3 linked regions of the Caenorhabditis elegans genome follow. The protein of the gene in region 3 interacts with the protein of the main gene of each other region in a biochemical or structural test. Each region holds a gene or a part of one and is shown on either strand. Other genes may lie near its edges.

What was found.
Region 1: of the proteins of kvs-1 (region 3) and mps-1, one has a biochemical effect on the other in vitro, tested with the Caenorhabditis elegans proteins (2 studies listed by BioGRID, with this or other methods).
Region 2: of the proteins of kvs-1 (region 3) and mps-3, one has a biochemical effect on the other in vitro, tested with the Caenorhabditis elegans proteins (one study listed by BioGRID).

The regions. Positions count from the first base shown.
Region 1 is NC_003280.10:6,292,155-6,295,912, reverse strand, and holds mps-1 (MiRP K channel accessory Subunit), read left to right. Parts: upstream 1-1,551; 5' UTR 1,552-1,761; coding exon 1,762-1,841; intron 1,842-1,941; coding exon 1,942-2,089; intron 2,090-2,291; coding exon 2,292-2,381; intron 2,382-2,428; coding exon 2,429-2,535; intron 2,536-2,645; coding exon 2,646-2,795; intron 2,796-3,062; coding exon 3,063-3,261; 3' UTR 3,262-3,388; coding exon of another isoform or gene 3,389-3,401; 3' UTR 3,402-3,454; downstream 3,455-3,758. Other genes in the region: nyn-3 (RNase NYN domain-containing protein), read left to right, coding at 3,389-3,401, 3,455-3,566.
Region 2 is NC_003279.8:760,190-763,669, forward strand, and holds mps-3 (MiRP K channel accessory Subunit), read right to left. Parts: upstream 1,661-3,480; 5' UTR 1,648-1,660; coding exon 1,605-1,647; intron 1,529-1,604; coding exon 1,431-1,528; intron 1,179-1,430; coding exon 855-1,178; intron 799-854; coding exon 760-798; 3' UTR 659-759; downstream 1-658. Other genes in the region: Y18H1A.8 (TransThyretin-Related family domain), read left to right, coding at 129-240.
Region 3 is NC_003284.9:7,705,441-7,709,198, reverse strand, and holds the start of kvs-1 (BTB domain-containing protein), read left to right. Parts: upstream 1-2,067; 5' UTR 2,068-2,112; coding exon 2,113-2,153; intron 2,154-3,099; exon of another isoform or gene 3,100-3,240; intron 3,241-3,758.

The sequences.
Region 1 (3,758 bases), on a different chromosome or scaffold from region 3:
AAACAGTTTCTCAATAATTTTCCATCTATCCAACAGGGATTCAACACGTTAACCTGAAACATTGTATTCATTTTAAATCGGGCATTGGTCTAGTTTGAATTTGAAGTGTTAAACATCAACTTTGAACAGTTAGATAGTGACTCTAGAGCAACGAGCGCCCGATACGAAACATTATCAAAGAAACGTATATTTCAGAACTAGAAACATAGCAAATTCATGCTTTACCAACTGCTTAATTCGCTTTCCTTCCTTTCAATTTTTCGCACATTCGCGTGCCTGTCAACTGCCTGATAGGCTTTCTGCCTTCTTTCTATAACCCCCATCATGCCACACACGCATTTTGTGTGGCATGATGGGGGCTATAGAAAGATCCGAAAAAAATGTCCAAAAACTACACAAACACCGCGGTTGAGATCACTTTTTTTCGCTTCCAATTGGGTTACAGTGAATTCTGTGGAATATATCAAGATATTGAAAACCAAATTGCCATTTTAAGTTTTAAAAATTTAAAATGGATACATTGTCAACTTAAGCATAAAGGATCGTTGGCTGGCAAGGAAGAAAAATCACAAAATTTGGGGGAGCTTACTTTTTTGACTTTATAAATTTTCACCAAATGTCACTTCCGTCACCGGTAACCAATCACAAAAAAATTTTCATGAAATGTTTTTTAGAAACAAGGATACTTTTATTATATAATAATGAAAATAAATCATTGGATAAATCTCATTTAAAAATCTCAATTAAGCTAAATTGAGCCTACTTGCGCGCCACGGTCGACTGGGTTTTTGAGTTTCTTGAGGTCTGTGCGGCTGTAGGTAAATGTTAAGTTTTATATGTCATTATGTTCGATTTTTTCTATTCAATAAAATGTATATATTAACTTGTTTTGATCGCTGTCCAAGAAAAAGTTACAGTTCCGTAAAGTGGTCGCCATAATTATGGACCACCCAGTAGTTATCTGAATCAGTTGATTAGTTTCCCTTCTTTTCGAAACTTTGATAATTTCTGGTAGAGCAGAGTCAACCAAATGAACATCATATAAATACAAATATTTATTCAGTTGATAGTTTTTTGGTGTATCATTTCACTAAAAAGAGCTATGACTTGATGGGTGATTACATATGAATATATGTAAGAACAAATAGTAGAACAGTGTAGGTAATGGTTTCGAGTTTGATGTTTTTTCGTTATTCTCCAAATCAGGAAAGTGTGAATAAAGTCATTACTGGTTTGAACTGGTCTTGAACTCTTTAAGTGGCTCTTGAAGTGGATCTCGGTTCAAATTTTGACTTTGTCACACACTAGTGAAAAGTACATTAGTAAATGAGTCTCTCAGTAAAAGCCAACTTTTGGCAATTTCCGATGGCGACAGTTTTTATTTTGGTATACATCAAACACAAACACTTTAATCCCTTCTTTCTCCATACTCTATACTTCCATTCAATGTCCTCTCCGATGATAATAAAAAACATGTGAGTATGTCTGCGTCTCTTCCAGAATCTGCGCACACAAATATGTGCTGCTATGGAAATGCATGAAAATCAAGGGAGGAAAGCAGTCTTCGAGAGCAGTGGCGCCAGGGCTCGTTTGTGCACCACGTCGTCTTCTTCTCATCGATTAGTGTGTGACACCTACTACAACTCATCATATTTCTGAAAGTTCATTTGACCTAATCATTTGTTTCACTTTCTGTCTGATCGTTTTAATTGATTAGTTTTTGGCGTTATTAACTCTGACTGACAGTACTCTAATCTTTCCATGCACAAAAATATCAGTCCCACGTGCCAAGAAGGCATTCGAGAAGCATGCATCACTTTGAAAAATGCTTGTGATCCCCAGTGAGTTTTGATATTTTGTGACAATTAATCGGGGAAAAAAGACAAACAAAAAGTCAAACTTTGGTATGAAAATCTCTTAATGAAAAGTGGCAATTTTCAGAGTACTTGACAAGGCTGCAATCCGAATGAGAGAGTACGAAAATGAGTTCGGTCGAATACTTTATACAATATCAATTTTAATAATGTTCTCATTTGTCATTATTCTCCTAATGGTACGATCAATTCGGAGAACACAATCAACAGTTGAGGTACGTTTGGAATTTCACAGTAGACAATCGAACTGTATGAAATTGTATGAAATTAGAGAGGACCGTAGGTTTTTGTATGTTGTTTGAAAACAAAAACCCGGTCAAATCAGAAGTTTTGTTACAAAATTTTAATAAATGTAGAAATTTTGAAAAAATGCTAATAACTTCAGTATTAAGCTACATGAAGTTCTCTATATTTCAGATGGATTCGCTCCTTGATGCTATGCGAATTCGAGAAGAATTAGAAATACAGGAACGTAAAAGAAGACGATTGATGAGAGCAAAAACCCAGGTATATTTATGAAAATACATCGAAAAAAAATTAATTCAAAGTTGTAGGTGACTGCATGGCTCGTGAACAAAAACAAAGAGAAAGGACCAGAAAAGCGAAAAGATAGCGAATGGAAGCCACTTCCAAATGGAACAAGACCAAGAGGACATTACAGGTAATTAGCAGAATTTTTTAGAGAAGTTATAATCAGGGAAACTAAAGAATTAACAGAAATGGTTTTCTATTTGCTTTTATATAACCTTTAATGAATAATTATAATTACAGCATATCAACAGTCACATCAGACATTCCGGAGATTGTAGTAAGTGCTGACGACTGCATACATTCTGATTTTCCAAATCGTCCACATACTCCTGCAATCTCAATGATTTACGATTTTGGAATTGCGTCACCGGATTTAATAGAGCCCGATAGGTGAGAAAAGATGAAAACAGATTAGTAGCCAAATATGAGACACTACTAAAAAATGGCTTTTTGGTGGTTTTTATAATATTCTAGCGGTGAAACGTTTATGAAAAATGTCGAAAGTCTTATTTATAAATGCAAAATAACAACACAATCGTATTGAATTTGACCACACCGGCGTTCTAATAGATGAAACTTAAAAATGAAACATTTCATACAATAACAAAACATATTTCAGCAAATTCAAACGAAACCTCAAAGAATAATATATTTCAGCCGTAAGCCATCAATTTCCTCTTCAACAGCAATTCCCATGTCATCTTCGTCATCTTCATCAATGAATTCATTGATTGAACCAAATATGAATTCAATAAAATCAAATCCTCGAACATATTCGCTTGACACAAACGCCTCCACGTCATCGAGAACTCCTCGTGTTGATTGTGACGATAAATCATTTAGCTTAGACGTGTAATTTTGTTCTCATTTTTATATGCATTACTTATTTATCTTCACCATCTTCATTATTTTGTCCTGTGATCGTCAAATCGATTCGATTTTCAATCAACTTGTCGTATATTTACACTGCTTATGTACATTGGATGATGACTAACAGTAATTCTTTTTTTCTGGTTAAAATTGAAAAAAAGAGAAATGAAGTATTTTAGAAACCGATAAAGAAAATGCTTATTTCAAACCACCGACTCAAGAGGCAATATCGAGACCGCTTGTCATTGATGGATGCAACATTGGAAGAAGTGCCTCTGGATATGCTAGAACGTGGGTTGTCCAGAATATTTTCTCAATTCAATGCTTCCAATCATTACAAACTTCTGATATTGTTGAAAATTGCTTGTTTTCAGTCCACTCATTAAAATTTCGATGATTTTGAGCAAGCTCTTTTGAGCAAGCAATCTTAATGCCCCACCTTGGTTTTTGACGCCAACTTATGTCATAAGTTTGATCTAAAAA
Region 2 (3,480 bases), on a different chromosome or scaffold from region 3:
CGACACTTTACGGTTTCCACGCCGCACTGTACAGAAGGCGCGGCCCGAGGCAGTTGTCAGGCGTTTTGGCGCCTATATGCAAGCTCTAGGGCAGGCATTTCTGTTTTCAAAAAAATGAATATTTTCAGGCAGTACGATGAAACACGCAACATTGATCTGAACAATGCCGGTGAATGGACAAACGAAGTAATCGGAACAAAGGCGATGGTGATGTCCAAGATATTTATTTTCAATGTTTGATAAAATTGTTCATCAATATTCGAGCCTACCTGCCTACCTGCCTACAAGGTAGCCTACATATATTATTTTTCCTAATTAACAAAAATATAATTAAAACATGATTAAGATTTTCTGAAAATGAGCAAAAAGTGTTTTTAACTTCCACTTTTTGCCCAACAGGTTTAAGATAGGCATGTGACAAAGCCTACATTCAAGGCAACCTACGCCTGCCTCGGTACATGGTGCATCGACCAATATTTACCTCTTAGCTTCGAGAGCTTATATCTCGGTTACATTTTGCTCTATCAAAAAATGGCCAACTGAAAAACTGTTCTCCAATGCTTTTTCTACAATTTTGTGGTTAAAATTTTTTTAATATCTTGAAAACTAGCGAAAATATAAGCCACCAAGTCGCGCGCCGCCCCCCGAGAAAGCAATTCCAACCCAAGTTTATTGCAATAAAAACCAGTAGAAACGAAAGAAATGAGGTTGATTTTGGAGACTTTTCAGGTGACACGGGGAGCTTTTACATTGTTGGCATTATTCAGATTCGATTGAGAAGGAGAAGTCGTGGGGAGGCTGAAAAATGTTCTAAAGTTGTTGAAAAAAAAAACAAATCTGCATTTTTTAAAAACCTGATTCTTAGACTTCCATCCATTGCCATAAGTGCACAGAACAGTCTGTTGCTCTTGCTCTTTGTGCTCCGTGTCCTCGGAGCCATCATCAACCTTGTCTGGAACTGTCGGTGTTGGCTCAGTTGACGGAGCAAATGAGGAGGATGGTGTCGCAGATTCTTCAGTTGGTTTGGGAGATGATGGCGGAGCTGGCTGAGGTGGAATTGGAGATGCTCTTTTTTTTGGGGTTACTGCAGACTGTTTGCTCTTCAAACTCTTGCTCCGCGATTTTGTGCTCTTTTTTGTTTTCTTCTTTGGCTGCTTTTGTTGCTTCTTGCTTTTTATCTGAAAATTAGAGTTTCTAGGCAATCAAGCGATTTTCTAGGCCACCAGACATATATTTAGCCATGTCGGAATTTTCTAGGCCATCACAGACAGTTCTAGGCCATATAGAAATTTTCCTAGGCCACCTAAAACTTTTCTAGGCCACCAACAGTTTTCTATGACCGCGATTTTTGCTAGGCCACCAACAAAAGCAAATAACACATTTTCTAGGCCACCAACAGAATTTCAAATTTTTCTAGGCCTTTAACTCACATATTTCACAATGGAAGCGGCGGCGAACACGATGAAGGCTACAATGAGAATGCCAATAATTATGAATATCACTACTTTGGTCCATGGCGTCGATGATGCTGCAAAAATGGAGGTACAAATATGCAAACGCGCTCTACCGCACTACCAGTGCGGTAGAGCGCGTTTCAAACTAACAGCCAGAAGTTGGCGCCGGTGGTCGCTGAGTGGAGGTGGACATTATCAGGAAATGAATGAGAAAATGGAGAAATTTGGGAAAATTGATTAGAGACGTGGGATTTTTTTTTAATTTTTATAATATTTTTGAGTAGGGGGAAGGGGTGAGGGTCACGGAAAATACCAAAAATTTGTGATTTTTCCATTAAATTGGAGCAAAATTGACACCATACCTCGTGGCCTAGAAAACTGCAGAATTTCTAGGCCACACACGTTACGTCATAATTTACCTGTTAAACCAGGTAACCAACAATCAAATCAAGAGTAATTAATCATCTCCTATCTTCTTTTATTTCTCCGTTCCTACTCCCAATGTTTTTTTTTTGTAATTTGTGATCACAAATTGTTGCATTTTGTAGTACGCCATGTACGTCTGTGTACTACTTTTTTCTGAAAAGAATACAAAAATGTTCGCTTTCAGGAAAAAATAGTGAGAGGTAGAAGAAAATTACGGGGACTAGAAATATGTAAAAGTTCGACAACGTAGGCAGGTAGGCAGGTAGGCAAGTAGGCAGTTAGGCAGGTAGGCAGGTAGGTAGGCAGGATAGTAGGCTGCCAGGCATAATAAAGATGCAGGCACGTAGGCGGATGTTGCAGGCATGAGAAGTCACGGGGGTAGGCAGGCATGTGGGTATGTAAGCAGATGTAGGTATGTTGCAGTCATGATGAAGGCACGTGGGTAGGTAGGTAACTAGTTAGGCTGGTAGGGAGGTAGACAGGTAGGCAGGCAGGCAGACGCGTAGGAAGAGTTAGCCAGGATGCAGGCACGTAGGCAGATGTAGGTATGTTGCAGGCATGCTGAAGTCACGTGGGTAGGCAGATTGGTAGATGTGTACGCAGAGTAGGTATGTTGCGGGTATTATGAAGGCACGTGAGTAGGTAAGCAGGCAGGTAGGTAGGCAGGCAGGTAGGTAGACATGTAAATATGCAGGCATATACGTAGGGAGAACAAGCCATAATTCAGGCACGTAGGCAGATTTAGGTATGTTGTAGGCATGATGACGTAACGTGGGTAGGCAGATAGGCAGGTAGGCAGGCTCGTAAGCTGGCAGGCATAATAAAGACACATAAGCAGGCATGTAAATCTGCAGGCAGATACGTAGGAAGAGCAAGCCAGGATGCAGGCACGTAGGCAGATGTAGGTATGTTACAGGCATGATGAAGGCACGTGGGTAGGCAGGTAGGTAGGCAGCCAGGCAGGATCGGAGGTTGGTAAGCATAAAAAAGACAGGTAGGCGGGTAGGCAAGCATGTAAATGTGCAGGCAGATACGTAGAAAGAGCAAGCCAGGATGCAGGCACGTAGGCAGATGTAGGCATGTTGCAGGCATGATGAAGGCACGTGAGTAGGTATGCAGGGAGGTAGGTAGGCAGGCATGCAGGCACATAGGCAGATGTAGGTATGATTCAGGTAGGCAGGCAGGTAGGAAGACTGAATGCAGGCGTGTTGCTAGGCAATAGCGCCCTTTCCTTGTTATGACAATCTCGATAATCTAATAATAAGCTATTCAATCATATCACTGCGCCGATACACAAACTACCTGTTTTTTTGAGTATGCGTCTCGTCCCGTCTGCCCAAAAGCTTCTACAGAGTGATTAGACGGTATAAGGGGGAGAGATAGGATAGATTTCAATCATTCTCACTTTTTTCGTCCCTTTCTCTGTCTTCCTTCTCCCTTTTTTTACAGGGCGCTTTTCCCTTTTTCGTGTGTGTGAAGAGAGAGAGTGCATACAGGTGTAGAGGACGCCCAGACATCGAGACGGAACAGGATTCTTCATCGTCTTCAGCTATTTGGAAGAAGGAGTAGAAGGTGACGGTGTGTGTTTGGAGACGTGTAA
Region 3 (3,758 bases):
AGAAAATAATAATTTCCGTTTTCAGTCAAGGTGCAATAAAGAAAAAAGGTATATCTTCCTGAACTTCCGCGTAGCTCAAAACTTGTGAATATTGTAAAAATCTACACAAGTACCGAAATATCAAAACATTGTACTTTTGACATATTAGAACGCATATGAACGGTTTTAATTGTTTTTTGTTGTAAGAACCACCCTTCTGACTATCTTTCCTTTTGATCAAAGCAATTGAAATAAAGGAATAATAATAAGCTACCTTAACATATAATCTACGAACTGTAGAAAATTCCAGAACTTTAGAGAACTGTTTAGAAACTGAACTTTAACGAAATGTAAGTTTTCTAATAACCATGAAAAACCTGTTTTCTTAACAGAAAAAAGTAACACAATCGGAAACTTCATGTATTTTCTTCAACTAGGTTTTTTTCGTTTCTTCTCTTCTGAATTTATCTTTGATGTTTCTTCTCTTCTGAATTTAACTTTTTTGAAATTAGTATAAGTAAATGTGATAAGTTGTCCAACCCCTTCTCTGAGAACTGTCCAATATTTATACGTTATTTCACAAAATAGGTATAAAATATTGAATATGAAATCAAAAAAACTACCTAAAATGTGAAACAAACTGCTCAAAAAAGAAGAATCGAGAATGTGTTTCAATACTAATAGTGAAAATAAAATGAAACATAAAAAATTAATTTGATGTGTGTTTACCACCGATCCATTTTGTTTCTAATGAAGATGTGTTTCGTTTCTGTAAAATTAAATTTACCGTTTTCAAAAACCGAATTTTTAGTTTTTTCTAGTCTTAATGTTTTATTATCGTTGCTTCGTTAATGTTTTCTGCACCTATTCAAACTTGATGCTGCATAATTCACAACAACCACGTTGAAAAAGTCGTTACATGTATTTTTGAAAATACTTACTTCTTAGACAGCCAATTCAGTTTTTTCCAGTTCTTCCACTGAGCTATTTTTTTCAAAAAACATATGTCTGCCCGCATACTTGGATACTTTCCTGTATGCAATTTTTCTGAGGTCTCAGAAATCGGACACTCATCCGCTTTTCTTTTCAGCGGCTAATCTGTTGATAACACGATGAACGTTTATATTTGTGAAACGATTTCGAAAAATTGTGCAAGATTATCTATGACGGCCTTCACTGGAATTTGGATATCCGTTCATATGTTTTGAGTCATTTTCAAACTAAATTTTTTAATTTTTAATTTAATTTCGAATTCACTCGAAAAATTTTGAAATGTTTTCGTCTTTTTTTAATATATTCCCAAAACAACAGCCACATTAAAAAAATTATAATTTCTTTGTTATACTGTTCATTTTTTAAGTGTTGAAAAATGCTATTAAAACTCCCCCTTCCCGCCATAATTTTCTATTTCAAAAATCATTTGCTCTGGGAACTTTTTGATATATTTATGACTTTGACTGGTTCATATGAGTTGGTTCACTGCAGTTTTTTGCTAAACATAATTTTTAGTTACGATAGTTTGGAGTTTTTTTCCCGGGTAGCAGCTGTTCCATTTAATTCATTCCAAGTTTGCAGATGGAAATGTTTTTTCTTGTGTTCAAATTTCATTCAATTCGAAAGTGCTGTCAGGAATTCCCACATGACGGGAGCCTGGTGAACACAGCCAAGTTCAACGGTTTTACGATCAAATCTGCGATATCTTACAGCAGAATTTGATTCATTTCATCGTCTATCCTCCAATCTTCGGACTTCAAAAAGTAATTTATTGTGATGAGTCCCACACGTTCTGAGGTTTCCGCAAGTGTTGAAAGACGCCAAAGTGAAATGAAAACAGCTAAAATAAGCGATGACCTCTGAGATTTTTGAAACTTTCGTTTTGCCTGCTGGACTTTTAAGCCCCGCCCACATTTTTTGTTCTCCTCCCACATTTGTTCCATACCGCTTCTTCAAGTGCCTTGTTCTTTAGAAAAAGTGGCTTGTTCGTTTTCAAGATTTTACAGGAAAACAGGAAGAGTTGATTGAAGTTCAAGTATCATCAATTTTTCAAACTCAATCAAAATTCTTGTTTTTCACATCTTGTTTTCCTTTTTTCAGATCATTCGTCGTCTCACCTTTTTGTGGAATCTGTGCAACATGAGCACGGAAAGGCTGATGTATCTCGATTTAAATAAAGGGTAAGTGTTGAGTTTTTGTTTTTGTTTATTTAATGGAGATTTGATGTCGTTTTGACTGGTTTGATTGATATAAAAAATTTTCTCAGGTCTGAAATTTAGAATTTTTTTTTCAAGTTTTTCAATGTTTCAAAATTGTTCTAAAGAATGAACGCAGAGTACGGCCACAGGGGAAATGACTCAAATTTTTCATGTGGTTCTTAAATTACTAAATATCATAATAAAACATAATAAAAATTTTTTGAATTTTTATTTCGATTTGAAAATAGTGAAAACTTTATGCCACTTTTAAAGATATCTTAAGCACTATGGCATTAACCCTTTTCTATGTTAGAATGGGAAATTCTTAAAAACTAAATGACCAAAAGTTGCAACTAAACAGTCGAATAATGTTCAGAATTCACTCAAATTTTTGTGAGCTTGGGTGAATTGCCAAATTTACAAAAATGTGGATTACTTAAGTTATTTCCAGCGCTGTCCCTAAAAGTGTTTGAATACGGTTAATTTAAAAAAAAGTCCAATGAAAAAATTAGCCTACTATGTACGTCTCTAAAATCTCATAATAATAACCAAAACTCTCTGAATCTGAAGCAGTTAAAAAACTTAATTTTTCCTGAAGCTTATATTCACAAAACTAAAACTATAGTTTCTGAGAATATAACTACATTTATTCCGTTTTACTCAACTAATGAGCCAGCTTCCGAACTCATTCCCTACAGGTTTTACGTCACTTTCAATCTACACAATTACTTGCTTTGTGAGCATTTACCAAAAACAAAACTTAAAATCAGAGACTAAAGATACGAACCATACCTAATTCATTCTTGTCAACAAAAACTATCACAACCACAAACTTTAAAAATTTCAACTACGAAGCCTCTACTTCTCTCATCGTTTTATCCACATTCACCATACCCCTTACTCCGGTTGCGGTCGGACACAGGAAAAAGTTGAACAAAAAGAGAACATAGCCGCAGATGGGGGTTCAATTCATCAATTAGATCTCTGCCACTTTTTCTTTCGTTTCCGAATCTGTCTCACATTCTGAAATAACTAAAGACGCTGAAAATGATGAGGCGATGTAAAAGCTTGCGGTACGTTTTTTTTGTGTGTTTCTCTGTGAAATGGTTTTTTGGTTTTTGAAAAACTATCGTTAAAAAAAAAAGAAAAAAAAAGGAAAAAACCAGCTTTGGTATTCGAAAAAAAAACGAAGATTCTGTGATGTGAAAAGGAGTTCACCATGAATTCCTGATCAAGACTTTTTAGTCCATGTTCCTCTCGCCTCTAAAGCTATTTCCTTTTTTCTTATCTTTTTGTTCAGCTTGCAAAAAGTCGAAGATCCGAACCAAATCGTTTTCGAATTTTTAATTTAGAACTATGAAATTTATTTTTGGAATGAGGAAGGAATTTGAGCAATGCTTTTATTTAAAGGTTTTCTGGTCTTTTGTATAAGTCTCCCCCAACGACTTTCGGATGCACATATTGGTTTCCTGTAGAGTTGGAATATGTCAATTAGCTGCACTTTTCTTTTTTAGAAAACAAATGAAATGAGGATCAATATTGGATTTTTTATTAAAATTTGAGTGGAAATCGAAAAAAATGGTTGAG